4 linked regions of the Lytechinus pictus genome follow. The protein of the gene in region 3 binds, or shares a complex with, the protein of the main gene of each other region. Links are inferred from orthologs where the notes say so. Each region holds a gene or a part of one and is shown on either strand. Other genes may lie near its edges. The genes, in order: dynein regulatory complex protein 9-like, F-box and leucine-rich repeat protein 13-like, dynein regulatory complex protein 10-like and dynein regulatory complex protein 8-like.

What was found.
Region 1: dynein regulatory complex protein 10-like (region 3) and dynein regulatory complex protein 9-like share a complex: the UniProt entries of both Homo sapiens proteins name them as parts of the nexin-dynein regulatory complex. The link is inferred for Lytechinus pictus from reciprocal best matches to the Homo sapiens genes DRC10 and DRC9.
Region 2: dynein regulatory complex protein 10-like (region 3) and F-box and leucine-rich repeat protein 13-like share a complex: the UniProt entries of both Homo sapiens proteins name them as parts of the nexin-dynein regulatory complex. The link is inferred for Lytechinus pictus from reciprocal best matches to the Homo sapiens genes DRC10 and FBXL13.
Region 4: dynein regulatory complex protein 10-like (region 3) and dynein regulatory complex protein 8-like share a complex: the UniProt entries of both Homo sapiens proteins name them as parts of the nexin-dynein regulatory complex. The link is inferred for Lytechinus pictus from reciprocal best matches to the Homo sapiens genes DRC10 and DRC8.

Annotation. Positions count from the first base shown.
Region 1 is NC_087260.1:6,704,295-6,711,854, forward strand, and holds the start of dynein regulatory complex protein 9-like, read right to left. Parts: upstream 3,022-7,560; 5' UTR 2,906-3,021; intron 1-2,905. Other genes in the region: large ribosomal subunit protein eL33-like, read left to right, coding at 5,644-5,660, 6,169-6,321, 7,377-7,524. UniProt on the Homo sapiens protein: Component of the nexin-dynein regulatory complex (N-DRC), a key regulator of ciliary/flagellar motility which maintains the alignment and integrity of the distal axoneme and regulates microtubule sliding in motile axonemes.
Region 2 is NC_087249.1:13,414,534-13,422,211, forward strand, and holds the start of F-box and leucine-rich repeat protein 13-like, read left to right. Parts: upstream 1-4,657; 5' UTR 4,658-4,759; coding exon 4,760-4,908; intron 4,909-5,306; coding exon 5,307-5,416; intron 5,417-6,481; coding exon 6,482-6,635; intron 6,636-7,456; coding exon 7,457-7,586; intron 7,587-7,678. Other genes in the region: uncharacterized protein K02A2.6-like, read right to left, coding at 1-1,994. UniProt on the Homo sapiens protein: Substrate-recognition component of the SCF (SKP1-CUL1-F-box protein)-type E3 ubiquitin ligase complex.
Region 3 is NC_087246.1:4,178,335-4,185,927, forward strand, and holds the start of dynein regulatory complex protein 10-like, read left to right. Parts: upstream 1-4,576; 5' UTR 4,577-4,909; coding exon of another isoform or gene 4,910-5,012; 5' UTR 5,013-5,530; coding exon 5,531-6,442; intron 6,443-7,123; coding exon 7,124-7,357; intron 7,358-7,593. Other genes in the region: two pore channel protein 1-like, read right to left, coding at 15-325, 4,910-5,012. UniProt on the Homo sapiens protein: Component of the nexin-dynein regulatory complex (N-DRC), a key regulator of ciliary/flagellar motility which maintains the alignment and integrity of the distal axoneme and regulates microtubule sliding in motile axonemes.
Region 4 is NC_087251.1:23,720,490-23,728,379, reverse strand, and holds the start of dynein regulatory complex protein 8-like, read right to left. Parts: upstream 3,021-7,890; 5' UTR 2,941-3,020; coding exon 2,910-2,940; intron 1,651-2,909; coding exon 1,566-1,650; intron 684-1,565; coding exon 531-683; intron 46-530; coding exon 1-45. UniProt on the Homo sapiens protein: Component of the nexin-dynein regulatory complex (N-DRC), a key regulator of ciliary/flagellar motility which maintains the alignment and integrity of the distal axoneme and regulates microtubule sliding in motile axonemes.

The sequences.
Region 1 (7,560 bases), on a different chromosome or scaffold from region 3:
TTTGCTTTATTTTGTCTACCTTTTTACTAAATAAATCAATAGGCCCTATCCCTCTTCAGTATCCATTGCTTTATTTTGACGATTCCTAATTTACTAAATAAATCAGAATTGCATCTACTTATTTTCAATCTCTATTGCTTTATTCCGTAAACTATACTTTTCATATAAATAAATCAGGATTATATTCATCTTTTATGTTTCTCACAATATAAAATTTGCTTTATTTTGTCTACGTTTTTACTAAATAAATCAATAGGCCCTATCCCTCTTCAGTCTCTATTGCTTTAGTTCGTTGATTCCTAATTTACTAAATAAATCAGGACTGCATCTACTTCTTTTCAATCTGCTTTATTTCGTAAACTAGCACTTTTCATATAAATAAATCAGGATTATATTCATCTTTTTATGTTTCTCACAATATAAAATTTGCTTTATTTCGTCGATTCCTAATTTACTAAATCAATCAGAATTGCATCTTCTTCTTTTCAATCTCTATTGCTTTATTTCGTAAACTAGCACTTTTCATATAAATAAATCAGGATTATATTAATCTTTTTATGTTTCTCATAATATAAAATTTGCTTTATTTCATCGATTCCTAATTTACTAAATAAATCAGAATTGCATCTACTTCTTTTCGATCTCTATTGCTTAATTTCGTAAACTAGCACTTTTCATATAAACAAATCAGGATTATATTATTTTTCTCACAATATAAAATTTGCTTTATTTCGTCTACGTTTTTACTAAATAAATCAATAGGCCCTATCCCTCTTCAGTCTCCATTGCTTTATTTCGTTGATTCCTAATTTACTAAATAAATCAGGATTGCATCTACTTCTTTTTCAGTCCTTATAGCTTTATTTTGTTGTACTTTTTATGCTAAATAAATCTCTTTTCATATATATGTTTCTTATGATTATGCTTTATTTCGTCTATCACGTTTTTACTAAAAAATATAAATCAAATTGCATCTCCCTCTTAACAGTCTCCATTGCTTTATTCCTCGTGCTCCGAGTTCCCTCCCGGTGTTTAATAGAGTACTGTCCAATTTCTCATAGGAGGGGACTTGGATAACGAGGAGTACTTTTACTCGTCATCCAAGTCCCCTCTCCTAAAAATACAAAACGGCAATTAACCCGTTGATATTCATCTACCCCTCATTTCCCTCCTCTTCAAAACCACTCTGCCACTTTTAGACAGTTTCCTAGAGATGATAAATGAATATTTTTGATAAGAATCATTAAAATTAATGAAAATCACATCAAAAACTCTATTTAACTGTCTAATTACTCCTCGTGATCCGAGTTCCCTCCCCGTGTTGAAGTACTGTCCAATTTCTCATAGGAGGGGACTTGGATAACGAGGAGTACTTTTACTCATCATCCAAGTCCCCTCTCCTTAAAATACAAAACGGCAATTAACCCGTTGATATTCATCTACCCCTCATTTCCCTCCTCTTCAAAACCACTCTGCCACTTTTAGACAGTTTCCTAGAGATGATAAATGAATATTTTTTATAAGAATCATTAAAATTAATGAAAATCACATTAAAAACTCTATTTAACTGTCTAATTACTCCTCGTGATCCGAGTCCCCTTCCCGTGTTAAGACTGTCCAATTTCTCATACAGGAGGGGACTTGGATAACGAGGAGTACTATTACTCGTGATCCAAGTACCGTCTCCTAAAAATAAAAAAAACGGCAATTAACCTGTTGATATTCATCTACCCCTCATTTCCCTCCTCTTCAAAACCACTCTTCGACAGTTTCCTAGAGATGATAAGATGATGAGTTCTGGTCTGAGTGGCATTATGTTCACGCATGGGAATAGTGCCTTTTTCATTTCAATACATTGGCACAGCACATTGCACAAATAGCACAGACTCAGTTTTCGAACTTATCCAAGCTAGGAAGACAACAAGTCACTTGACTGCAGGAACAACTCTATTTTTCCAGTAGATGCGGTATAAAGGTATAAATGAATATTTTCGATAAGAATCATTAAAATCAATGAAAATCACATTAAAAACGCTATTTAACTGTCTTATTACTCCTCGTGATCCGAGTCCCCTTCCCGTGTTGAGACTGCCAATTTCCCATAGGAGGGGACTCGGATAACGAGTAATATGCTATCACTCATTATCCGAGTCCCCTCCTATGAGAATTTTGTAGTCTCAACATGGGAAGGGGACTCGGATCACGAGGAGTAATTAGACAGTTAAATAGTGTTTTTAGTGTGATTAATTTTGTTTTATTTAGTGTTTTTTATCATTGTTTCAACTTGGAAGAATATATACAGCCATAGCATAGGACTAGGTCTAGGAGAGAAAAGAAAGACTATTTTTGTCGTTTGAAAGTGTCAGGGTCAGTTGTTATTGTGTCAATGGGAAAACGTGTGGTGGAAGTCCCTGTTCAGTGAGAAGCTTCGCACCGTTTCGCATCGCGAATAGATTTCTTTTGAAATTGAAAATCTTCCAACCGTGGATTCCATTTATTTATTTGAAAGATTGCTGATATTTGAGATGTTTCTCAAGTTTGTCCCCAGTGACTTGGATGACGATAAGGCCTGTAAATTTATCTTTATTATTTCTTCCCTTTTAATACCCCGTCAAAGAGCAAAATTGGGCGCGCCAGCGCAGCGCCTGATCCCTGAGCCCTGGCCCGAGGCTGAGCTACTCAGGCTCAGCTAGCTCCACATGACATGCACAGCCGCGCAAGCGGGCCCAGCCCGGCCCGCGGAGCTCCAGCACGACAACGTCAACGGTCCGAGGCGCACGGGCAAAACTGTCGACTTGTCTTTCGGCTAAACTCAGTAGATCTTTATTTAAGTCCATTATTCAAAGACACATTCTCGCAGAAGTCATAGGAAAGAACATATTCTAAGTTATTAGAGAAAACCTACCTGTTATCCCTTACGCCAACACCATGAAATTGGGGAGATTTCCCAGGAAGTAGGCCTTTCTACCTGCTTGTTTACGTTGTTTCCAAGCTCTTCCAAACGAAGGCTCGATCAGTATTAGTATGTAAAAAAATAACAAGAGTCCATATGAATATCAATCTTGTTAGTAAATTACTTTTATTAATATAACATAAAATTTAAATAAATATTTTAGTTATTTTCATATCAAAATCATTTATATCAATAATATCTGAATTCAGATAATTTTACTATAGATTTGGCCTTTTTCTCCTCTGTTTCTCATACGAGTGGTAATGCACATTTTTACATGAAAATTCACACCTTCATACCCCCTAATATATTATTATACGTTCAAAGAATGAACTTTACTAGTTAGCTTTTTTATTTTACTTAAATGTCATATGTTCTACCATTTATGATTGCGCATTGAGAAGTAGATTTTGACCGATTGTGTGGAGAATACCCCCATGTCCCATCAACTCCTGTATGCGTTAGTACATGGACCATGGTCGACGTCATACGGGATTCTGTGAAGTGTGATGACGTTCATTCATTGCGTTTCCAAGAATCCCAAGTCGAACATCCAAGTTGGCAAATTCGACGGGGGGGGGGGGGGGGTGTCAGGAGGCATGGCATTTTGGCTCTAATAGTATTGTTTCTCACCAGCCGACTTTGTCGATAAAATTTCCTCACCACGCACCAGAAAATAAATGCAGAATTCAGAAATTGTAAGCAAAAAGTGCCGCAACAGTGCAGTAGCCACTGCAGTGACGGCCAACGGTGCATGGGCCTGGCAAGTCTCTCTGACTTTCTTTCGTCTCTGTCTGTCTCACTCAGTCACAGTCACATTTCAAGGTCAATAAGTTATGACAAAGACAATAATAAATAATAAAATATGCCCACTGCTTTTCAATATTGAAATCCGGAAAGGCTGTAACTAAGTGTAAGCTAGCCTAGCCTGTTATTGTGTAATTTGCCTTTACTTTAGTTTTTGTCTTCGAACTCGATGCGATGTCATTGTTCAAATTCTCAGTCAGATATGGTCATCGTTTATAAATATAGGCCCAAATGTGCTCCCAGCCATGCCAGCGTTCTTGCAAGGATTATTCTTACGCGTGTCGGAAACGTGCCGATTCGGTGGTGGCCAATTTTGCACGTGATGTTTTGATTTTCACATGCGCTTTAAATGATCCAAAGTCAAGTTTCATTGCCAATTCAATGTAGGCCTAATGTTTTAATCGGCGGCGCACACCAATACCTAAAATTGATATTGGCAAAAATATTGAAATGTTAAGTTGTTAATCTAAAAAATTTGGGGTCTTTTTGTCTGGAAAAATTAAAATATATTTGATATACCTCTCGTTGTGGACTCCCGTTCTCCAAGAAGAAATGTAAATCACCCATTAAAAACAAATAAAACAAAATACTAGTCACAAACATCTCAGATTAATGTACGATCTATCAGGACATGTTTTAACATTGTTTTGAGGTGTTGATGAGTTGAAATGTATGTGATATACCTTTCGTTGTGGACTCCCGTTCTCCGAGAAGAAATATAACTCGCGCAATATTCTGACAACGGCGGAAAAGAAAATAGAAGTCACAAACATCTCAGATTTCTTTGTTTTGATTTTCAGCTTATTTGGCCTTCCTCTGTACAAAAAGTATGGGAGCTCTTTCTATTTCAGACTTTTTCAACACTCTTCAGCTTTTTTCAGATCTTTTTATTTGTGACCACTCACACCCCTGAAAATCAGATGTAAAATAAGAAAGTTATGACATTTTTAAGTTTTGCTTTATTTCATATAACAGTTATATGCACATCCTGATCGGTATGCAAATGAGGAGACTGATGACGTCATCCACTCACTATTTCTTTTGTATTTTATTGCATGAAATATGAAATGTTCTAATTTTCTCCTGATTTTCAAGTGAAACAACGATTTATTCCCCCTGAACATGTGGATTAAGCATTGTTCAATACTATATGGTTCAGTCAAGTCGGTCCTTGTTTTTAAAATCTGTAAAAAATGAAACAACATATTATTCAAACAATAAAAAACAAAAGAAATAATGAGGGACATCATCGACTGTCTCATTTACATGTCACCGAGTTGTGCATATCAATGTTTTGTGAAAAATAAGCGAAACTTTAAAATGCCATAACTTTTTTATTTTACATCTGATTTTCATGAAATTTCACTGTTATGCTGGTTTGATTTTTTTCTATTTATTCAAATCAACATTTTTCTGGGGTGGACTTGACCTTTAAGCAAATTTCCCCACAATTTGCCCACCGCTTAATAAACGTCATCGTTTAAATTCTCAGACCGAACTAGAGGTGCTGGTCAGAAAATTGGGATCGTCCCAGTTTTCAGGGACTGTCTGGGTTTTCAAAGATTTCTCCACACAAGAAATTTATTTGTGTTCATTCACCTGTCAAGTGCTGACGCCAATTAAGTGCGCTAGTCAATGTAAACATATCCAGTTTCATTGGAAGATGGCAGACGGTGAACCAAGGGGAATTGAGGTCACTGAATCTAGTTTTGAGCACTCTCAATTAGAGCTCTGCATGTACATTGCACCATTGTATCGGCACAAGTTTGAATCTTACTCTTCAGAATACTGAGGCACACATGCGACAGATATGAAATAATGGCTCAATTAAATGTGTATTTTTGTTCCTTTTACATACAGAGTTATTGGCTGGAGTTGGCAAGATGGTAGCATCCAAAAGGTCAGTGTCAGTTTCCAAATTTCTGATGAGTTCCTTTCAAATTGTGAAGGCAGCAAGAACCTGTTTCCCTATCATTTTGTTTTATTTTAGTGAGCCCTTAGACATGCTCTCTTATGGAATATTGTGTACTCTATCTAAATGGGGTTAGTTAAAATGCAAGTATTTTCAACAGGCAACAGTGATAAGAGGGTAGATTGGGCTAGTCGTAATAATTGAGATGCGCAGAGTACGGTAATCATACTAAAGCTCGCATAAGGCAACTTTCAACAAGTCAAATGATTAAAATCAATTGCCCAAGTTAAAGCTGTATTCTACTGCGTATTTCAGAAGATACCTATGGTCCCAAGGCAGACATTTGTACATCACATTTTGGTATTTAAATTTTCTCTCTGTGTGACTTTACTTGTACTGTGCACAATTGTTGCTAACCAATCGCAGCTACCTTGAATTTAACTTGGAGCATAATTGATTGTTAAGTCTTGTGTGACTTGGTCTATGTGCAACACAGGTTATACAGCAGGGCAGTTTTCACGGGTTACAGGAGAGGACTCCGCAACCAGCATGAAAACCAAGCTCTTCTCAAGCTAGAGGGAGTAGAATCCAGAAGGGAAGCCACCTGGTATCTTGGCAAGAAGTGTGCCTACGTCTACAAGTGCAAGAAGTAAGTTCAATAGGATACTTCCAGAGATGCCATCTGGGGATTTTTTTTTTAATGAAAAATTGCAAGTTCCATGGAAATACCTTTTCCACAAAGTTGAATTGTATTATTCACAATGTCCTCGTACTGAAAATTAAAAATAATGTTTTTCTACCCTCAAACTATTGCAATTCATTTGACAAGGTTGGCATCTCAGTACTCAAGATGCAAGTGCTACAGAGCTGGTGTCATTGTCAGGAGCAGAATTTTCTTGTGACAGAGAGCAGTTGCAGGATTATAAGATATATTTGAAAAAATAGAAATGATTTTTGTCAGCCATGAATTGGGGAAATATTACCCAGTGAAAATTGCTTTTCTCAGTGCAGTAGTTGAATGGGGGAAAGTAGGCGTATTACAAAACTTGCTTGACTTTAGGTTTTATACAAGAATATTCCATGCAAAGTCTCATGATTTAATGCTCAATCTTTCAAAGTATGTGCAATGTAAAATGAATCAAGCAGTTAATATCGAAAGTCAATCATTAGCAGACCAAGCCTGGAGCATGTTTTAATGTAATCTGTGCCAGTATGTCTGGGAGAAGTAAGGAAGGGATATTGGTATAGACTGTTGAACCAGAAGTTACTCTGAACTGTATGAGCATGATACAGGGTGTTCGTTTGTGTATAAAAACCATGAGATGGAATAATTTTGCTTTACAAATTCGAGTAGCATTTTTGGTCATAAGAGAAAAGCTCTCAACTAAGTAATGTACAGTCCTTGTAAAAATATGCTATACAAAAGACTTTATGCATGGCAGTCTTTAAAAAATGTGGAGCGAATTGCGATGCGATACCAGGAAAATTATTCCCCTGTGAGACCTGGTAGAGTCCAGGTTTTAGAGAAACTATTGAAAACCCTTTTTAAAAAGTAAGACGATCCTAAGCTTGGTTGAATTTTTCTTGTTCGCCTTTTTTTTTTATCACATTCCATGACAAATCACAATGTGCGAGTCAATTAACTGTTTGTAAATTCTGTAAGACTCAATTTGTGACTACACTCTCCCTTTGATTTCTTCGCAGCAAGACGAAGTGTCCCGGCAAGGACAAGCCAACCAACACCCGTGTGATCTGGGGTAAGATCATCAAGACACACGGTAAGAGTGGCGGCTGCAGGGCCAAGTTCAAGAGCAACCTTCCCGGCCAGGCTATCGGCAAGAGGATTAGGGTGGTAAGTAGCTAGGAGATTTGTTTAAAAAGGGGGCAA
Region 2 (7,678 bases), on a different chromosome or scaffold from region 3:
TGAAGCCCCTGTGAGCTTACTTTCAACCCTAGGTACACCACTTCACCTTCCACAAAGGCACATTTGCTCCTTTTTAGCTTCACATTATGATCATTCAAACGCTTCAATACTTGCGCGAGCACATCAAGATTTTCATCCACTGTGGTTGTAGCTATCAATACATCATCTTGATTACACAAGCAATGGGGGATACCTTGAAGAATCTTATCCATTGTCGCTTGGAAGATCTTCGGTGAGGACTTAATTCCATATGGTAGTTTTGTGTAGGAATACAATCCCATATGCGTGTTGATAGTAAGATACTGCTGACTTTGCTGATCCAAGTTGAGTTGTGCATACGCGTGAGAAAGATCCAACTTCGAGAAAACTTTGGTACCTCCCAACTCTGCATACAAATCCTGCGATGTGGGAAGAGGATAACACTCATCATCAACTGCTCGATTGACTGTGGTCTTATAATCTCCGCAAAGACGAACACCTCCATCGGCTTTCGGCACCACTACGATCGGAGTTGCCCAGTCGCTGTAGTCTGTCTTTACGATGACTTTGTTTTTCTCAAGGTTTCTTAACTCTTTCTCAACTTCTTCTTTCAGTGCGTACGGTACTGGTCGCGGTCTACAGTAGACTGGAGTTGAATTCTCCTTGATTCTTACATGCGCTTCCACACCAGAAATCCCTTCATAGCTGTCTTCAAACATTCCGCTATACTGTCGGAGTAGACTCTGCAATTTTGAAGACTCAACATGGAACACGTTATTCCAATCTAACTTCAACTTAGTCAGCCAGTTCTTACCCATCAGTGTAGGACGATTCGTGTAGCTTGTTACCATCATGGGCAACAACAATTTATTCCCTTCATAGGTGACTTCACATTCAAATTCACCACACAAGTCCAACTGCTGACCAGAATATGTTCTGAGTTCTAATGAATTTGGTCTCAAAGGTACATCACTGAAGTTTCTCTCATATGTGTCCTTACTCATAATAGAACAATCTGCCTGGGTGTCAATCCTCATAGTCAAGGATTTCTTGTTGATTACAACTTCTGTTTCAAACTTATTGATCGAATCTGTAGCATACACACAATACAAATTCGAATTATGTTGCATAGATTTCTCTAGATCATCAGTTTCATCCAACGCATGAACTTCAGCATTACCGCCAGTTCGACGCGATTTACCTTTACTCGGTACACTAGTCTTTCCTCTATTTGACTTACAAGCTTTAGCTATATGTCCCTTCATCTCGCACTTGAAACATTGTGAACCTTTAATTGGACATTCTTGAGGTGGATGATTTCTGGAATTACAGCGATAACAGTTTCCATGCTTTTTACTTTCAGCATTAGAGGGTTTGGGTTTACCTCCACGACTAGTTGGTTTAGCTTTACGGGTGTAACTTTTCTGACTATTCACACTTCCAGCATTATGAACAGAACGAAGTTCACGAGCATTTATTGATGCCATCTCCATCGACAACGCAATTTGGCAGGCTTTATCAAAATCTAAATCTTGAGTATTCAACAGTTTGTTCTGAATTTGTTCATCAGCCAACCCGCAAACAAATCTGTCTCGCAAAGCTCTATTCAAGAAAGATCCATAATTACAATGTAAGGATAAATTCTTTAAGGCAATGATGAACTCACCAACTGTTTCACCTTGTTTCTGATTTCTTGTTCCAAACTTGTAACTTTCAGCTATCTCTAACGGCTTAGGATCGAAATGATTCTTCAACTTATCGATGATGTCGTCAAATGTTGCATCTTTCGGCTTGCTAGGCGCTAACAAATTTGCGAGGGTTACGTAGATTTCTGTTCCAATTTCAGTTAGTAAAATTGCCTTTTTCCGTTCCTTCACGAATTCAGCATTCTGGGAAGTTTCAACGATGTTATTGGCCATGAAAAACAGTTCCATACGTTCGACATATGAAGTAAAAGGTTCGCGAGCCTTCTCAAAGCTCCCTAGCCGTCCGATATAGCCACTGGGCGTCGCCATGTTGTATCACGCATTGACTGAATACACGTGCGAATACCATGTGCGAATACACGAAGACTTCCTTCCTAGTTCCATCAACTGTACGACGGTAACTTTAAAGTTGAATTAAGAAGACGATTCCAAATATTGAGATATTTACATTAATAGCAACCTTACAACCCCCCAAACACTAATAGGTGATTCGACCCCCCATTTTCTTTTTTCAAAATAGTGAATTTGAACGATTTATCCCTACCCATTTTCCCTGAGTTCGCTCCTGCAATGCCTACCGAGACGGGTGTTCTTTGAGTGTGACGTCACCGGGGGGTAAAGCAGTGCCGTTTTGTGTACTATGCACGTACTCCTTCATATGGAATAACTGCAGTTGAAGTTGTATCTGCGAGCCATAGAACTTGCAAAGAGGAAATGATTAAAATATTTGTGGCCGTACTATTATTCCAAATATGTGAATTCCCTCAGAATGATACCATAGACCCTAAAGGAATAATTTCAAGGTGAATAATATGAAATTTGATCGAGATCTTCTCACCAGTCGATAACGTAGCAGACGTGTTATTATGACATATTTATCCGCGTGTGACGCGGCTCTTGAAAAAAAAAACACAGTTGGTTGCGGAATTGCTTTGTGCCGACCGGCCGCCCGCTCCGGCGCAGCTAGCTGTCGAGCGACCGCACCGTTCTTGTTGTCTTCAACCATAGAGATGTATACTAATTACTATATATATCTTTCTGTCTTCAACTCACTTGCGAATTGCGTTTGTATGTGTGACGGTGACCCCTAGCGTAATTAAATATAGAAAACAACCCAGAAGGCCGAGAAAGAATACTATACGTTTGGTTCAAGATTGTTCTGTGGAATGAGCTATGAGTGGAAATGATCCAGAGGATATAAAAGTGGAGTCAATTAAAGACAAAAGAAAAGAAGAAAAAACGCCAGGGGATCGCTGCACGGCCATGAACTAAGTCGACATACCAGACCATAACAGTACACTCAATGCCTAGCTGGGTGTTGTGTGTACTAGTATTATGCGTTCAGCGCGCGCTGAGCTCGCCGCCGGAATTACTTTCCAGCTACTCACTTGATTGAACATCGTGATAAAATAAATGAGAAATAATGAAAATATCATTCAATAACTCACTGTTTGCTATCTTACATCATGATTGAAGAGTTCATGGTGGTTATTCATACTGTTTTTTATACAGGGAAAGTAAAGATTTGTACATATCAGTCATATTTGTTTGATTTGAGTTGCTTTGAAAAAAATTTGTAAAATATCTTTCTCTCTCTGCATAGCATTTCTGTATGACATTCAGGCACCTCTTATACTAAATTCCCCCCGGTGACGTCACACTCCGAGTGACTTTTCTGTACACTCGTCTCTCGGGCTCTGACAGGTGGCTAATTTCATAGACTTTCAAAGCAAAATATCGAGAAGGCAGAGGATTTTTGTGACATGCTATCTGTTTGAACAACTTATATATACTATATATTGTATGTAGAACCTATATTTATGGAAACTCACCCCCTTCTTAATTCAACTTTAACCAGAAAATGTCACTTTATGACCTCAAAATTAGGATCAAACTTTCGTCTCACAGATTAGCAGTCCCTTGACCAGCAAAATGAAGACTTTAAGGCTTTCGTAGACTCTTTTCTGAGCATCCTCGTTGCCAATTTGTAACATACTCAGAAGAACAGCTTCCTATATGTTTTTTTTAACTACAAATATTGATGTAAATGAAGTCAACAAAGAGATCCTAAGTTACTACAAGTACTGTACAAAAGGGAAATGCCAGAGTATAAGTAGTATTCAAAGTTTGGTGCCTTTGTTAAAGTTAAGGTGCCAGGTGCCCTATTACCGTGCGGAAACGACTACGGGTATATAATCAAGCATAGGATTCTTACTAAGTACCTGTACCCCAACAAACTATATATTTTTGGAAAGCTTATGAGCTGATCTACACAAAAATTTGCACTGTGGCATATTAGCTTTATGCATAAGCAAAATATGGTCATTCAAAGTCATGACTTTAAAAATCATGATTTTTCTCTATATGAACTTTCTATGGTTATAACTTCACAACATAGAGTGTAATTTAAGTTTTGATGGATTAATTTAATTCTCTGACTTCTTTGTGATGAATTTATGATGGCTTTAAGAAATATTCAGAGTAGAATTGTAAAAATTATGGATTAAACAAGCAGTCAGATAATGAGAAATTCAGAAAGGACTTTTATACACAACTCCACCTGTGGGGGTACCATGCACAAAAACTATCATTATTTTGTTGTACTCTTCAAGATACACAATTCTACAAAATTTCATGCAAATCCAATGATTAGAACTCGAGTTATTACATTTTTCATTAAAAAAACCTCAATTTTGTATAATATCACGATAAAGAAAGGGCTATAATACTAATAATAACGGACATTTGTAACGCGCCAAGTCTGTCACATAGTGTATGTAACTTGTAGTCGCTGCCATATTGTGCAATACAGTAGCTCTCCCTATTTGGCCAACAGAGGGTGGTAGTCCACTTTGCTACATGGAATATCTGGGGCTTCAGCCAAAAAAAATCTGGGGATTTTCTGATTTTTTTTAAGGCAGTATCAAAGGTTTTGGGGACAGATTTAATCACTTCCGGTGTGTAAAATACTACTTCCGGTTTGAGAATTTTATGAAAATATGTTTTAACCCCCCTCTTATTAAAAAAAGAGGTAGAATATTGAGATAAAACAAGTTGCATGATGAAGTACACACATGAAACTAGCAAAGGAGACCAAAAAAATAAAATCATTAAAAAAAAAAAAAATTAGGGCACCTGTCACCTTAAATTTATTTTGTAAGTTCATTACTTTCCCTCTTTTAATTTTTTCCTCACAGGTTGACCTGTCAAAGACAAAGAACATGTAAGTGTGTTTGTTTGTTTGTTTCTTTGTTTTTTGTTTATTGTTTGTTTATCACAGCTTCAAAGCCTTTACACAATTCTGGTGAGCAAGGGTATAATAATAATAATAATAATGATAATCTTCCAAAGGTAAACTAAGTGATAGAATAGAGTCCAACAGCTAAAATTAACTCTCAATTGTTCTGTAAGTAGATTAAATGCTCAAACTTAAAAACTGATTTTCTCAAAAAGTTTTTTACGGGGGCGAATTTGCAGATGGACTCTTTTGCCAGGCTGGAGCCGAGCTATAGAAGCTCAATGGTGTGTAAACATATATTATTTGCCAAATGTTGGGATTCTGTTTTCCTGTCTTCTTTAAAGATTTTGTTTCTATTTAAATTCAATGTTCTCCCTTGGCAGTGTGACTGACAATGTAGTGACAAGTCTCCTTCAGCATTACAGGCCCTATGTTGTTCATCTCAACATCAAAGGATGCAAAATGCTCACCAAACCAAGCTTCAAAGCCATTGGTAAGCATTTACTATCGTACAACGCCTACTTAGCTTGTTGTACGCGAGCAAATGGGAGGCTGAATGTCAAACATTCTTACAGTTGCACACATGACGTACCATCCAAAATGTACCGTTGCACGGCTTTAGGAGTTGACGTCACAATACGATTTAATTCATTGCGCTCAGTAAAAATTAAGGTGCAATACACGTATAGCCTGCTGGCTAAATGCGCAATGCTGCCCAAGGTCACGTGCGCTTGTGGGATTTTGCTTTTCGCTTTTTAATAATTTTGCTCCCTTTTCATTCTGAGGCTTTAAACAACACAAATAGCGAATATTCGTATTCGTGCAATGGTGCGAGATTTCGCATTCGGTGAAAGAAAGAGACGCTCTATTCAACTCAGGCTAATGCCTCGTTGAATAGAGGATCTTTCTTTCACCTCATGTGAAATTTCGCACCATTGCACTCATGCCTATTCGCTATTTGTATATTAATAGCTGGATTCTTACCACTAACAGCATGGTTACCCTGGGTAGCCACTACAATTCTGAAAACTGTTCTCCCAGCGGGCCCTGCTATTATTATTGCCCCGGCCTTAGCTGGGCTGTCTAGGCACTCAAGCATTTGAGGAAGCTCTTCCTAATGGGTACCCATTCACCTCATTTGGGTTGAGTGCAGCACATTGTGGGTAAATTTCTTGCTGAAGGAAACATGACATGGCTTGTAATCGAACCCACATCCCTCAGATTGAAACATAAAGAGTCAAAACCACTAGAGGATACAAAGCGCAACTTAAAAAATAATCAAATAACAAAAATCTTTGTATGAGTTGTATAATTTATAACTAATTGTATAATAACTCACTATCATTCTGTAACTATTCAACAAAAATATTTGTTTTTGTTGTACACTGTATAATTTGTATGATGTTTCTTTTTCTGTTTACACTACTATACTACAATTTTATTTATTAATAAAAAATGTATATGTTTGTGTCCTGAGAAGCTTGAAGACTCTGGAATACATTTTGCAATGCCCTTCCCCATTTCCTATTGATATCAAGTATGTATTCTCTTTTTGCAGGTCAATGTCGTAACTTGCAGGATTTAAACTTATCAGAATGTCCAGGACTGAATGATGATACTATGAAGTATGTAGCCGAAGGTTGTTCTGTCTTACTTTATCTCAATGTCTCCTTCACCAACATCACAGATGCTACACTGAGATTATTAGCCAGGTAAATGTGTTCTTTATTTGTCATAGGTAAATAGGTAAATACATCTACATGTATATGTGTATAATTCATGCCTTGATTTATTTCTGTCTTGATATTTGCAAGACTACTCGCTTTAATGCAATGTTTGCCCCCTTTTGAGCATTCAAGGAATTCCTTCCTCCCAGGTACTGATTTTCTACACCTGGGTGGAGAGTTGAAAATGTAAATAAAAAGCCTTAACCAAAGGACATGAATGCTTCTAAATTATACATTTTAAAAGGCAAAGGCAGCCATATCTCGTATTGCATAATATTATTTAAAAAATATGTGTAAGCAATCATAATCCTTTGAAACACACAAGACTATGAATGTCAAAACGTGGTTGGGCCCCAAAAGTAGATTTGGTTGCAGGACTAAAATTGTTTCATTCATCAAAAGATTTTAAAGCATTCAGTCAACTGCATTATTTATCTAACTCTGAAAAATGCGTAGTATGTATCAGGTTTGACAATTATATGTGGAACGTTGTGGCACAGTGGATTATTCTCCGGACTTTGAAACAGAGGGTAGAGTGTTCAGTTCCCAGCCATGGCGTAATTACCTTCAGCAAGAAATTGATCCACAATGTGCTGCACTCAACCCAGGTGAGGTAAATGGGCACCTGGCAGGAGTTTTTTCCTTTGGATGCAGTGCACATAACAGCTGCTCTGCTAAAGCCTGGGTTATGCTGCATTTTAACTGTAGAGTGCTTAGAGGCTTCTGATAAAGTAAGTGTTAAGCACGATATTTAATAGCAATTATAATTACTATAATTACGTTTTTACAATGACTTGTTTATATAGGTGCTGCAGCAACCTACAGTACTTGAGCCTTGCATATTGCAAACGTTACAGTGACAAAGGGCTTCAATATCTTGGGACTGGCAAAGGAGGAAGGAGATTAGTCTATCTTGATATGTCAGGGTGTCCTCAGGTATGTTATATATTTTGGGTCTTGGGTCTAAAACCTATTAGAGCTGGGTTATTTTGACCCACATTACAGCCGGGAGGGGGGGGAACAGCTTC
Region 3 (7,593 bases):
ATATATACACTTACAATCGGCTGGAGCTGTAGTGCATCAACAGCTGGCTCTTCAACCAACGCAAGAAGTAGCACCAACATGGCTGCTGCTAAGTCCATGATGTAAAAGTAAAAGTTATGGACCATGACATAGGCTGGGAGTGCATCTTGGTTCCTTGGATGGGTGTCAAATCGGTCATTATTCTCCCCCTCCTGAAGATAAATGGCTGCCTCTCTGTAGTTGAGCTCCCAGTCTTGGGAGGTTCCAATGGCAGGCACAGAGAGTGAAGAGGTCTGTCTGGAGACAAAACCTGGGCTGGTAGCAACAGAGTCATTGTTCAGATAGTCTGGAAATATAACGGGAAATAGTGCACATGTCCATTTGAAATTACAATAATTGATTCTTGAACATTCAGAAATAAAATACTTACAGTGGATAGTGATAGTGAAAATAAATCTTTGTTTTTCAGTTATTCTTGAAATATCTTTATTACAATTTCAATAGATTATCATTATATCATCTCCCCTTTCTTAATGTGTTCCTTTCTTCTTATTTTTCTTGTGTATCCCTGTTTTCACATCATCCTATCTATTTCCATCATTCTACTTAATAGCTCTTACTTCTTTTTCATTTTTTACCCATCCTTTCTTGTATTTTCCCATCATTTTCTCAATTTTCTGATGTATTTATTTTGCTTTTCATCTATTTCTTTTGTAGAAATCGTTGTATTGCCCTCAATATTACAATTTCTGAATGTGCACATTATTGATGCAACCAGCCCTTGCACTGAGCCCTTTATTGTGAGGGTAAAGTACGTTTTTCATGGCACATGGAAACAGTCATGGAATTCAATTATTTTTTAAGTGTGCCTTGGCAATTTCAGAAGGGCACCACAGCATTGAGAGGTACACTTTACATACTGTACTCAATATAAGAAAAAAAAGTAATTTAAACAGAAGCAATAAAGGAATATTCATATTATAACAGTAGGAAATTAATTAGTGGTCTGTATTATGAGAGATCCCCTCTTATGTTTGTATGAGTTTTTTTCTTTGTCTTTCATTTTCATATTTTCCCGATAATCTCCATAAGCCCTTGTTCAATTTCTTTTGTCAAGGCCCTGTTAAACTTATTTTGGATCAGCAAGAATCAAGCAGAATCAGCTAGAATAAAAAAAATATAAACAAGTGGAACGCCTCTGGCAGTCTCGCCTGCATTACGTAATTCGAAATAGCAGCAGTGCTTCCTTTGAAAAAAAGATATTATGTCCATTGACCAAAAATGACCTTTGACCATGATCATGTGTCCTAAGGATTGTGCAAAACTATCATTCATACTTGATTACCCTTATGTCGATGTTTCATGAGCAAGTACCATAAACTCGTAAGTTATGATGCCATTTCAACACATACTCCCAACACGGCCAGAGTTCATTGACCTTTATGACCTTGGACCTTGGCCATGTTCCTGAAACACACACAGGGTATTCAGGGATACACTGCTGCTCTTATGTCCAGGTTTCATGAACTAAATCCATAGACAATTCCACAAATACCCCCAACATTACCAAAGTTTGTTGACCCTAAATGATTTCATGAGGCACACCCCCATCAAAAAATAATTTGAGTGCCCCCCCCCCCCCCCCCCGGGACCCACTCCTTGCCCTTTCTTGTAAAGCGCATGACCCATGCGCAATTCGCGTTCGCCATTTTGGATTCGGCGATGAATTAATACAAATTTGGTACTGCGAACTGGCTTCAAATCACCGCTGTGTAGATGAATGCAATAGAATCCCTGGCTTCGTGGAGAGTAAGCATACGTTAGTAAATGATTTTTACTCTCTAGAAGCCTCCTGGCTAACCAGACCGATCTCGTGTAGATCCCTCAATCCATTTGTAAAAAATGCAAATACAATAGGCTTGACCCTTGAACCACTTCATTATGACGTACCTTCGACAAGCGATGTTACAAAATGCCGTTTGAAGAACAATTTATAGATAAAAATTATTATTTAACAAATAATGAAATTTGAAACTTATTTATAAATAATTATTATGATTATCTATACTCACGTATTAAATTTTATTATTTGTTAAATAATCATTTTTATCTATAAATTGTTCTTCAAAATGGCATTTTGTAGCCTCAAGGCTAGTGCGCAGCCACTCACATGTATTGCGAGGTTAGTATACTAATACTAATGCACCTATCAATTGTAAGATGCACCCCCGACCCCCGGGAATGGTGTGTCATGGTAGGGTCATTTACCAACAAATTAGTGAAGCAGGGTACTGTCATAGAAACATTTGGTCCGTCACAGTTTGAGGATTGGGGTGCGTTAATGTCAGTCATGTTACCTGGGTGCGTCATGATGCCTCAGTGATACAAAAATTATTAAATTAATATATATTTTATATATCTTTCATTATGAACTCCCGTTCTCCCAGAAGAAATATAATTGACAAATTATTCCGACAACGTCGGAAAGGAAAATAAAACAGAATTGAAGTTGGTAACATCTCAGATTAGTTGGCGATCTATCGGGACATGTTTTTTAATTATTTTGAGGTGCTAACGAGTTAAAATATATTTCATATATATACCTTTCATTACGACCACTTTCTCTCCATTAAGAAATATTAAAGACGCATTTTCTCTTCAATGTTGGAAATGTAAATAAAACAAAACAGAAGTTGGAAACATCTTAGATTAGTTGGCAATCTATCAGGACATGTTTTAAAATTGTTTTGAATGGCTAACGAGTTAAATTATATTTTATATATCTTTCGTTATGAACTCCCGTTCTCCCAGAAGAAATATAATTGACGAATTATTCCAACAACCTCGGAAAGGAAAATAAAACAGAATTGAAGTTGGTAACATTTTAGATTAGTTGGCGCTCTAAGGACATGTTTTAAAATTGTTTTGAGGAATTAAAGAGTTAAAACATATTTCATATACCTTTCTTTATGACCGCTTTTTCTCTGTTAAGAAAAATATTAGACGCATTTTCTCGAAAATGTTGGAAACTTAAATAAAACAAAATAGAAGTTGGAAATATCTTAGATTAGTTGGCAATTGATCAGGACTTGTTTTAAAATTGTTTTGAACGGCTAACAAGTTAAGACATTTTATATAAGTTTCGTTATGAACTCCCGTTCTCCCAGAAGAAATATAATTGACGAATTATTCCAACAACCTCGGAGAGGAAAATAAAACAGAATTGAAGTTGGTAACATCTCAGATTAGTTGGCGATCTATCAGGAAATGTTTTTAAATTGTTTTGAACGTGTAACGAGTTACACTGTCAAAAACGAAGTGCTAATTTAGCACTTACAGTGCTTGTATAGTGACTGCACTATGAGCATGAGTGCTGATTTTCTCGTTCAAATTTAAACTAGAAAATCAGCACTCGTAGTGCAGTCACTATACAAGCACTTTAAGTGCTAAATTAGCACTTCGTTTTTGACAGTGTAAGATTTATTTTATATATCTTTCGTTATGAACTCCCGTTCTCCCAGAAGAAATATAATTGACGAATTATTCCAACAACGTCGGAAAGGAAAATAAAACAGAATAGAAGTCACAAACATCTCAGATTAATGAACGAATGATTGGGATATGTTTTAAAATTGCTTTGAGGTGCTAACGAGTTAAAATCTATATTATGAACTTTTTCGCATGAACCCTGGCCTTGATTTCCGAGAAGAAATGTAAATGGCGCATATTCCCGACATCGTCGGAAAGGAAAGCGTTCCCTTTGAGTTCGCCTCGGCCTCTGCTATCACCACGAGGTTGTATTGAAGAGAAAACATTGTCAGAGACTATAGCGAAATACATGTATCGCGTTCCATTGCATTTAGCTCGATTGTGCCCACGCAGCACTTGCACGCACGAGACATCACACTTCAGAGTCTAGTCTGAATCTGACTTTTTACTCTGACGAAGGTGCGTCAGGGAGACGGTCATGGTTGGTCAAAATCTTGAACTGGTGCGTCACTTTTTTCTTTCTTGGCAGGGTCATTGTAAGTAAAGGTGCGTCATTGTTAAGACACACATGTGCGTCACGCACCACACCACGTACCATAAAATCTGACTCACGTTTGACAAGTGACGCACCCTTCCCGGGGGTCGGGGGGTGCGTCATACAATTGATAGGTGCATAAATACTGGTGCGCAGCGGCAATTTTCCAGAGAGTAGGCAGTACAAAAAAGACTAAAAAACTTCTCTCACTCAGCTCAACTCAGTCTCTGCTAGCTGCTTACCGGTTTTACAATACACTGGACTAGAGTCTAAACTCTATTCTTCATGTTTCACTGGCTATTCCATATCCAAAATGAAAAAAAAAACGTTTTAAAATTTCTCCAGACAAATTGTTTTGCTGTCTAACTCTAACAAACACAGGGGCCGATTGCACGAAAGGGTCTTTCCAAGGACCGTCTTTCGTGTCGCCCATCTTTTATGATACGCCATGTGAAACGCATTTCAAATAAATTATCTGCAAATATATTTTATTTTTCCGTTAAAATAAACAAAATATTTGTTTATAAAATGATGTGATATTTCATGAAATTGTATAAAATTTGATTTAAAAGCAAGCTTACGAATTTTATTTGTTTATCATAAATTTCAGAAACACCCCGCTTATAGCGCATCATAAAAGATGGGCGACACGAAAGACGGTCCTTGGAAAGACCCTTTCGTGCAATCGGCCCCTGGGTAATTCGTAACGGCTAACGCGCGCAGGGCCGAGTCGCAGCTACAGACAGACAGTGTCAGTGACAAGGGGATTGTCAATGCAGTGCAGTGCATTAACACAAGCAGACGCCGAAGAGTTGAATTTGAGTCAATTAAAACGCAATTAAACCTATATCACGACTGTCACATTGACTTCAAATACTACATGTATCTACAGGAAGTATTTCTCACCACTCCTAACTGTTCTAAAGCTCTGACTTGGCTGTTGTTCAGCCAATAAAGGACTCTCAAGTTCTACTGAGACACGATTTAGGTCGTCCTCCAATTCCGCCATGTTTACATCCGTCAGCTGTTATTCTCGCTTTTCGAGGTGAGATTTGGCGAGATTTCGCTACACCAGTTGACCCCTTTCGACCTTTTCTCGGAAGTCACCAAGCAACGAAACCGTATTACACAAATACGAGCAAGCGGATGGATAATATTTCATGTTAAAAACTTACCATTTTGTTAAGCTTTACTATTTTTCATTACCATTTGTAATGTAAAGTCATCGAATTTTCGCAGATTTGAAAATACTCAAAATCGGAACAGATTTACACGGCAATTATGTGAGGCTTCATTTTCCCTTCGCGGAGGAATATTTACAAACAAGATTTGTGGTGCGGTTACTCTATTTACGTGTGTTGTCTATGAGATCGAGAGTGCTGGAGGTTCAGGAGGAAAGAACAAGTGTTTGTGGAAACAAATGTGGAATTCTGCATAAACTTTTGAGAGTTCAAATTAATTACCTTACCTAAAATTCAATCTGTGTAGTTTTTATCCGAGAGGTGGAAATACGTAACGAGCTGCAAGATGTCTTTCGCCGACATGGCTGTGATGGAGACGTTTCGTCTGCTCGACAAGGTTCGAGCTGAGGGTCCAAAAGAACGTCCAGAAAGACCTAACATAGATTTTCCACAGGTCAAACCACACAAACCGAATAAGCCAAAGGAATCAAAGAACCAAAGAACCGATCCTCTACGTATCCTAGACCCTGGAAGGAAGAAACTTACAACAGTTGAATCACAAAGAATTTTGGCAGTATTGGACGAGAGCATCAAGAATGCTGAGGTTGTAAGCTTGCTACCTTACGCTTGTGAAAATGTCAATCGTTTCAGCGTTGTTCTTGGTATCGAGACAGTTGTTACTATACAGGAGCATGAAAAGATCCAGAGTGCATTTAAAGATGCTGCAAAAAAACTTAGCGATTACAAAAATATGGACAAAGTCGAGTCTCGAAAATCTACCCCAGCAGCACGCGCAGCTGAGTCTGAGATACAACCCACCAATGATGATGAAGATAATTATGATGAAGTTCAGATGATTGAGAGCAGGAGGCAAACTCCATCCGATAGATTAGACAAAGTTGACTCAATTTCACTTATTGATGAGGAAGAAGTGCAGCTTTCAAAAATGGTGAATGTTCAAGCGCAGCAGTTGAAGTTTTCATGTAGAAATATCCTGCGGTTGCTGAGCTTGAACCCAGCAGCAGTCAATGCCCTGAGGTCTGAGATCAAAGAGCGAGGCCCAGAGTCTAGTTCTATGATTGGATACATGAAGGATCTGAGATCATTTATTCTGGAAAGACTGCTTACCACGCCCTTGGAAGAGAAAGAGAAAACAGATTATCTCAGGGAGATCACAATCAGGGAGCATAAGAATTCTGATGTCATCAAGAAACTTTCTGCTGAGCTACAGGAGGCAATTGAAGATAAAGACATGAAGGTATAAAGGGGAGATTCGAAACTTCTTTTCTTCTTTCTCTAATTGACATTCCCTCTACCTACTTGTATCCTATTCTTTCTCTTTCTAGCCCCCTTCCCTCTTCCATTATTTGCTATTGAGTAGATCTAGCCTACTAGTATTGAATTATGCCTGTCTGAAGGGCTTTTAAAACTTTGTTTTTTGGGGGAGGGTCTTTTTGGATTCTCCAATGGAGGAGGTGTAATAAAAGCAAGATCCCGGTACAGTGCATGTAGTCTAGTGGAACAGCAGACGAAACCATGACTGAAGCTTTTGGTCTGCTACTAGACTGCTAATTATTCCTTTTCTTTTTCACTTTGTTTATATATTATCATCACTTTTTTCTTTAAAAATAATTGCAGAAACTGTCTTAAATTGGTCAAATTATTTTGAGATTTGGATACCTTTCACACAACATTAGATATTTTTTTGACTGCTGACTTGAAACATGATCAATGCTTTCAAAAAAAGTAATTGCCTTGTCCTTGTCTATTGTTTTTTTTTTGTGTGTGTGTGTGGCATGCAGAGCTAAACACTGGCAGTATATTGCCCATACAAAACAAATCATAATTTTCAATTTTATTGTCAAAAAAGGAAAATCACTAGATTAAATATTCTTTATTGTTCTACTTTTTTTTTTTTTTTTTTTTTTACGTTCTACAGATCTCCAAACAAAATGATGAAATTCGTCGACTAAAGGGCGACCTCCACCAGTTAGAGAAATTCTCTGAGGAGCACATCAGGAGAACTAAATCAGAAGCTGACAAACAGCAACAGGCAGACTTCAAGAACTCTGAAGTCAAACAGACCAAGTTACACTCTGATCTTCAGGGTCTACGTACCCAGCTGACCAATCAGACATCAGAGCACAGAGAGAGCGAGTTAGCTTTGAGAAAAGTGAGGACGATTTTCATCTATTTGTAGATTTTGGGATATAAAGCAGTGGGAAAAATCAGTTAATTCAAAATACATGTAGCCCATCTGATATTTTCCTTTTTTTTCTATTTATTTCATCCAAGAATAAAATGTATTTTGTTGAAGACATTTGGTACTCAAAAATTTCTCTTTCTTAAAAAAATTCTACATGTTATATTAGTCTTTTTCAAACAGAATATGTATTATACCATTAAATA
Region 4 (7,890 bases), on a different chromosome or scaffold from region 3:
ACTTCAAATGCCTTGACAAGCTGATCCTCAGGGGATGGCTTGAATCTTCAAAGAAACATTTTCAAAAAATAAAAATAAGACGAAATATGAAAATGAAACACTGCCCAACACATGATGACATCCCCTGTCATTCCCATCTGTTATCTTTCTCTCTAATACTTGAACTTTTTAAACACTATAGAAGGAGCATCATCAAAACAATTTATAACGTTTATCTTTTACATTGATTCTTTTTGCTAGAAAACATTGTCATACAAAAATTTCCATCAAAAGATATAGCAGTTAGGGGTAAAAATGATAAATGTATTCAGATTATAGCAAGATACACCTGACCTGATGATCTTGATGATGACATTAATACAATTGTTTAGATAGTGACAATAAGTAAGAAAGAGGAGGAGAATGTCAGTCAGTTAACAATTTACATTCTGATTTAATGATGAGTAAAGTTAGGATATAAAGAGCACTGATGCACCTGCAACCCAGATTGTCATCCATCTCATCTATACTTCCACTCTCATTTAACTTACTTGCGTTCCATGAGAACTTCTCGCATGATTGGCTTGTAACGATCATACTTGATGTATCCTGTGGGCTCCTCCTCTTCCATCTCAGACAAAAGATCATGGAGTTCACCTTCACTAGGACAGCAACCTAATGACCTGATAATGGTCCCAATCTCCCTGTAACACATGAAGAAAAAAAAAAACAATCACATTAACAACATCACATGCAGTAATTAAGATAATCGCAAGTGTAAATATGACAACTACAGCAACTTGGAAAGTTGAATGTGAATTTATATGGTTTCTCAATTAAAATTAATATCATTATTAGCATACATGATTAATTGTAGGATGAGTATCCTGTTCTACATCTTAGTTTCTAATAAAAAACTGTTTTCACTTATGGTTGCACAACTTTATTATATATCCTACGCTTTCAGCCAATACTTCTGTCTATTACTGTTCAACCTAACTCAATAATAGTAAAAATAAGAGGAAGGTATCATTACTCCTGTCTGCAGGCATAGACCCTGAATAAATCTTGAATAAAAAAGAGGGTCTTGGGACAAGTCTAGCACTGCAAATACATCTTGGAAAAAAAAATAAGGGGGAAAAATCTAAAAGAATATAAAAGAAGCTATTAGAAATCATTTCTGACTGGTTGCCATTATAAAGCCAAGCAAAGAAGTTCTAAGTTCTGAATTCGGGCCTTTGATACGTAAGTCCAGTCAGGACTGTAAGGCTTCCAATTCAGACCACTCTTTCCAAGCTTATTGGTTTGTACAACTAACTACCCTACCTTAAAAAAGATTCCCAAAAGCCAAACAAAATTTTCAGGAAACATCAAATCAAGGTCCACCTGAGCATACATGTATCAATGAGAAATATGGTACTTTGAAAAAAGGTTTTTTTACTTTAGTGAAAGAATTTAGTCCAAAAAGATTGCCCAACATAAAGAGAAAATATATGAAACTAAAACAGGAAACTATACCACCCACAAGCTACAAACATTACCCAATTATCATATTCGATTCAATCAATATTTAATCATTTACTCACCTAACATCAACAGTCTTATTAGACTCATGGTCGAAGATATCAAATGCATCTGTAATTTTCTTCTGAATATCCGCAAGCAGTGATTCTGTGTTAAAGTTATTAAAAATATTACTTAGCGAAAATCTACCTGTAACTTTATTTAAATGTACAAGTTTGCTCAATCCCAATAAATGACAGTATATAGGGGTATCCCCATCTTGATTCATTCAACAAATCAACAATTTGAAATCCTATTTGATCAACTTCTTCAAATATTAAACTTTAGGAGCACCAGTCATCACATTTTTCTCTCATTGCTCTATTTTGGGGCACTATACCCCAAGTTACCGTGCACAAACTGATAACAGTGATATGGGAAAAAAATATTTTTGTGGATTTTGCTATTTTTAAGGAAAATTTATTTTTATTTATAGGTGTCCGATCAAATAAACATATGGATCGGAATTTGGTTCTTTCATATAAAACTTTTTTTAAAGATCTAAGTATATAATGATATGGAATGAAATTCCAGGCTATCATATACCCGTCATATAAGTCATACATTTGTATACAGTATAGACAGCTGGCAGCTGTCTGCTTCGAGGAGTTTAAAACATTTTTTAAAATTTCTCCTCATACACAGACGGCTCGCGATCGTGCAGCTGCCATTAGGGGGTTAAAAATGCAAAATCCCCCCCGATGGTGCTCATCGATTTTTGTCTTTATTTCATAAAATATGAAAAGAACTGGACCAAAATAAAGATTATTATTCTGTTTGGCCTTAAATGCACCAAAACGGGGAAAATAAATTTAAAAGGACACAAAACAGTGACTTACTTCGGCTGTCGCGCAACTTCACTTTCCTGGACCTGGTATATCCGAATTTAATACATAAACATATGATATAGCCTATGCCAAATATGGCCATTGATTGAGTCCCTGTACAGATCGAGTTAGAACTTCGGTCTCTGTAATTGGTGAGTGGAGCCAACGGAGTTCAGCGGAACAACCAACATAACAGAGACCGAAGCTTTTGGTCTACCCTTGGCCTTGCTTGGTGCGGTGGCTAGCCATGGGCTGCCAGCTGCCGCAGTAAAGTGGTAAGAAGCCTAGCGGACAGCCAGCCGCGGCTGGGTATAGGGGTACGGGCTAGTTGGCGGTACGGTACGTGAGAGCGGCTCGCTCCTGAGCTGAGCCATGCCAGTTTCCAAACACGACGAGAAATCAATTGCAAGTTTTTAAATTTACTTCATTACAGATATACGTGGGTAACGACATTTTTCTTTCTACCAATTCCCAAAATAATTTTCAAAGTTCATTATGTTAGAAATATAGATGACCAAGCTAAAAGTAAACGATATTTACCAGCACTTTCTTTTTCTTCTGCCTGTGCCATTTTGAGCTAGCCGATCGAGAGATTGTTTACATATACATCATATGCATGTGTTGCTACCGTACCGGCAAACTAGTCTGCATGCACAGACTCTGATTAAATCTTTGATCAACCAGTGAGTTTTCACACAAGACTAGCAAATAAAAGTGTTGTTTTGGGGTTTTTTTTGTCCTGTTTTGTTTTTGTTTTTGAAATTTGTTTTCTCAGTGCGTAGTTGCGTACCTCCCTTTCTGCTTTGCTATGTAAGTAAAAAATATAAAAGTAAAGAAGAAAAAATATAAGGAAAGATAAAATGTTTATAACATAGGCGGATCCAGGGGGTGGGGGGGGGGCTCGCATCAATGTTCAGTTACATAGCTATCTTGTTCACCATTAAAAAAATCGATTAAAATTTTCCATTCTTTACCTTTTCAATATCAGTTCAAAACATATATAAACATTTTATGCTCGCGCTTTGCGCTCAAATTATTAAAGGGATGGTCCGTGCTGAAAATATTTATATGTTAATACATAGAGTAGAATCATAGAGATGTAGTATATATCTCTATGAGTAGAATTCACTTCGTATGGTCCAACAGCCATAGATCGGAATAATTTGGAATGAAAATATAACAGAATAATGATCAATTTTCTTAAAGGGATGGTCCGGGCTGAAAATATTTATATCTTAATACAGAGAGTAGAATTCTCTGAGCAAAATGCCGAAAATTTCATCAAAGTCGGATAACAAATAATTAAGTTATTGAATTTTAAAGTTTAGCAATTTTGTGAAAACAGTCGTCATGAATATTCATTAGCTGGGCTGATGATGTCACATCTCCACTTTCCGTTTTCTTATGTTATATACATAAAATAATATTTTTTCATTATTTCATACTTGTGTGAATAATATATCTCCCTTATAATGAAATAAGTTGTAGCAATAAATATCTAATGCACTAAATCAGTTGTCAATCCAATTTTTCTAGTTCTTGGAGGAAAAAAAATTGAATAAACCTAATTTCATATAATAAAATACAAAAGAACAAGTGGGGATTTGACATCATCAGCCCACATAATGAATATTCATGACGATTGTTTTCACAAAATATTGCTTAACTTTAAAATTTAATAACTTTGTTTTTTTTTATCCGATTTTGATGAAATTTTCGGCATTTTGCTCAGTGACTTATATTTTATTAATTAAGGTATAAATACTTTCAGCCCGGACCATCCCTTTAAGGTAAGATCCCCAATTATATACTCATCCTTTTCATGATTTACAAAACATGAATAGAGTGTCTCGTTTTTAGGTCTAATCTCGAAATTTTCCGTTCGCGCTTCGCGCTTGCATCAATAATCTTCACTGTTTAAATTACAAAAAGTGCTTAGAATTTCCGTTCTTTAGGTATAGCTCACGCTTCGCGCTCGCATTATTTTGATTGTTAATGAACTGGAATACAAATACCCTCTGTCCTCTTTTTTCTGACTCATTAATATGCAAATGCCGTCCGCCGGGGACAATAGATAGTAAATGCATTTGCATATTAATGAGTCAGAAAATAAATAATTAAAAAATATTAATGAGTCAGAAGAAGAGGATAGAGGGTATTTTAATTCCAGTTCATCGTTACTTAGCCGTGAACCAGAATAGCCTGGTGGTTGAGTCGCTGCCCGGCAAGCAGTAGATGACAGGTTCGAATCCCATGCACTGGTTCCAATTTTTTCTGACTTATGATTTTCATTACAGATCGAGCATGCGATCTTGAACACATGGGAGCTAAAATGCCGAAAATTTGTTTACAAATTATTATTACCTCCGATTAAAGCTTCTTTATTCACTATTGCCCAGAATGTTCAAATTTTGTCACAAAATACATAAAATGAAATAAAAATTAGCTCGCGCTCGCATTGCAGTGCGTATCAAAAAAAAGTTTACACTTTGAAAAAGCCCTGGGAATTAAAAAAATATACAACATGTGGGTATTTTTTTCACAAATATTCTTGGGTTTGGGTCTCATCTATCCAATGAAAGTAAACATTTTGACAGAATGTTACACTTGAGTGAACACTGTCCATTTGTGTAAAGCTCGCAGAAATCTGTTTGCGCAGACATGCTCATTTTCACGCTGTGTCAAGGGGAAAGGGCGAAATCAAACTTAACCTGCGAAATATTTCTCATACATTTCCCTTGCACTTTTAGTAATTGAAATAAAAGGGATACATTTAAGCATTTTGTAACAATTTTGCCACCCAAATTGAAATTTCAACACTTAGTAAGCACAACCTTTACCCTTTTTGTGCCAGCTGGATCTGAGGAAATAACTGAATCTGAACAAAAGTTTATATCAGACATCTCCAGCATTTTTTCACTAAGTTTTTATCATTTAAAGTGGGTTTACATTTCATTTTTCATTTAATACTTGTTTCTCCACACTTTTTGCAAGCTTTACAATGATTAACAAAATGAAATTCAAGCCTACGCCATTTCAAGTAAATCACAGCTCAGTGTAAAGCAAATATCGTCACGATGGCCTTAAGGGTGTGTGGGGGATTAGGTTGGGGCGCAATGCACTCTTCAAAGTGTTTTGGGCAAGGAAACAAGTTAAAAAAGGTAAAAGATATCTTCAAATCAATTTTACTAGCTAAATTTAATGTGTTATTCATGATTAAGGTCTACTTTTATTCGCATAACTAATTTTAAAGTTCTGCGCAAATCATTTTTCACTAACTTTTCAAAAGTAAGTGGTGCTCACTCAAGCGGAAATATTTTTCGACAGTTCGTAATTTGCTTAAATGGATCTGTACCAATGTTAAAATGTGGAAAAATCTTCAGGATATTACAAATGTATAATTTTACAGGATTTTTTCTAAGTGTAAACTTTTTTTTATACGCACTGTATAAATAAGGATTATGATATTATTTTTTTTATGTTGATTTATAAGAATAAAGCTAAGAAGTGACTATTAGGACTACCACTTCAAATAAACAAAAAATCATCTTCGAGCGGCCGATCGGGGAAAATATGGCTGAGAAAATGTCCGCCCCCCTCCCTATTGGCAAAGGCTGGATCCGTCCCTGCAAGACATGCACAAACCCCCAATCAAGTGTATACATGCAGCTATTATACACAGCTGTTGTGTATTATGATAATTGGTTTAATTTGTATCTCGGTTGGCACCTAAATTATGACTGTCAACTACCAAATCAATGTTCGTTTCACTTTTTCCTTAATCGAAAAAAAAACTTTACCCCAAATCATATGAAAAAAAAAACAAAAAATGAACAAATCAGAACAGGTGTGTACGCCGTTCAGGGCCCTGTGAAAGATTTTTTAATACTGGGTTGTTGTTTGTTGGAAATTAATGGCGACCAGTCACTGGGGTACAATTGCTGGAGTTTTGTCGTCAGAAAGAATTCCGACAAGCCACCCCCCCCAACAAAAAAGGGGGGGGTTATTGTTTACAAATCTCCCTCATTATTTTGGGGAGTAATAACCATTTATTATTATTATTAATATTTGTTTTGCCTATTTGTCAACCCGGTCTGGGAGGTGCTGTATACACTGTAAAAACGCTGTTTAAAATTTTAAGCAAGTTGTTTAAGCCTGTCACTCTAACAACTACCGTTTAAACTTTTTAAACAGCTGTTGAAACTTTTTAAACAAGTTGTTTAAAGAGTAAATTACAGAAAAGTTTATACAACCTGTTGTTAGAGTGACAGGCTTAAACAACGTGCTATTTTTTTTTACTGTGTATGGTATATGCATGCAGCATCCCTCCCCGTCCGATCCCCGCTACCATCCAGCAGTGGCGGTTTATTGCCATATACTGCCAAATGGTCTAATGTCATTTCGTCTACCATCAGTTGGTCCACTATCCATTACCATTTCGTCCATTTACCATTTAGTCCAATAGCCAGTTGGTCTAATAACCATTTCGTCTATTATCGATTGGTCTAATAGCCATTTGGTCTATTGCATTTTTGCCAATTGGCCCAATAGCCACTTTGTCCATTTTTATTACGTCTATTACCATTTAGTCCAATAATAATAATAATAATACTAATATGTCCATTTATATAGCGCAGTTACTATGTGCATATACTCAACTGCGCTTTGATACTTGGTATAATATTATGATAACTAAGCCGCCATATTAATAGGCGATAAAGCGTTCAAGGAATAAATCCTGCCGGGTACCCATTCACCTCACCTGGGTCGAGTGCAGCACAATGTGGATGAATTTCTTGCCGAAGGAAATTACGCCATGGCTGGGATTCGAACCCACGACCCTCTGTTTCAAAGTCCGAAGACTAATCCACTTTTATAGGCCACAACGCTCCACGATAGCCAACTGGTCTAAAGGCAAATGGTCTAATCCACTTAGTCTACTTTTATTTCATCTATTCCCAGTGGCGTAACTACGGGGGGGCATGGGGAGCACGTGCCCCCCCCCCCCCAATCGGCTGGCCAAAAAAAAAAAAACGGGGAAAAGGAGAAAAAGAGGGAGAAAGGGAAAGAAACGTAGTGGGAAAGAAGAAATTATTGTTAATTATAATGGTATATTATATTATGATTATCTTATGTTATATTACATAAATAAATTATAACTTTATGAAACATAATTTGCACAGGGCCTAGTCTTCATTTTTCCTGGTGCTCGCATTGCCTGTTTAACAATATATATAATCTTCTTGTACTAAAACCTCCCGTTTTCAAGTCAATATACACCAAATATATTTTCTTAGACTTCGAATTATTATTGTTTTATGTAGTGACATATACTTTTTTTTTCATGACTACTTAAAGTGATTGCCCGATTTTAAGGTCTTAATATAAACCATTTCCTGTCCGTACTTACGTTCGCATTCGTGGATTGGTGAGATATGTCTGTTCTTCATGAATTTTCTAAAATCAGTCCTTAAAATGTCCCTTTTTCTGATCTGAATGTAAAAAATTTCAGCTTGCGCTT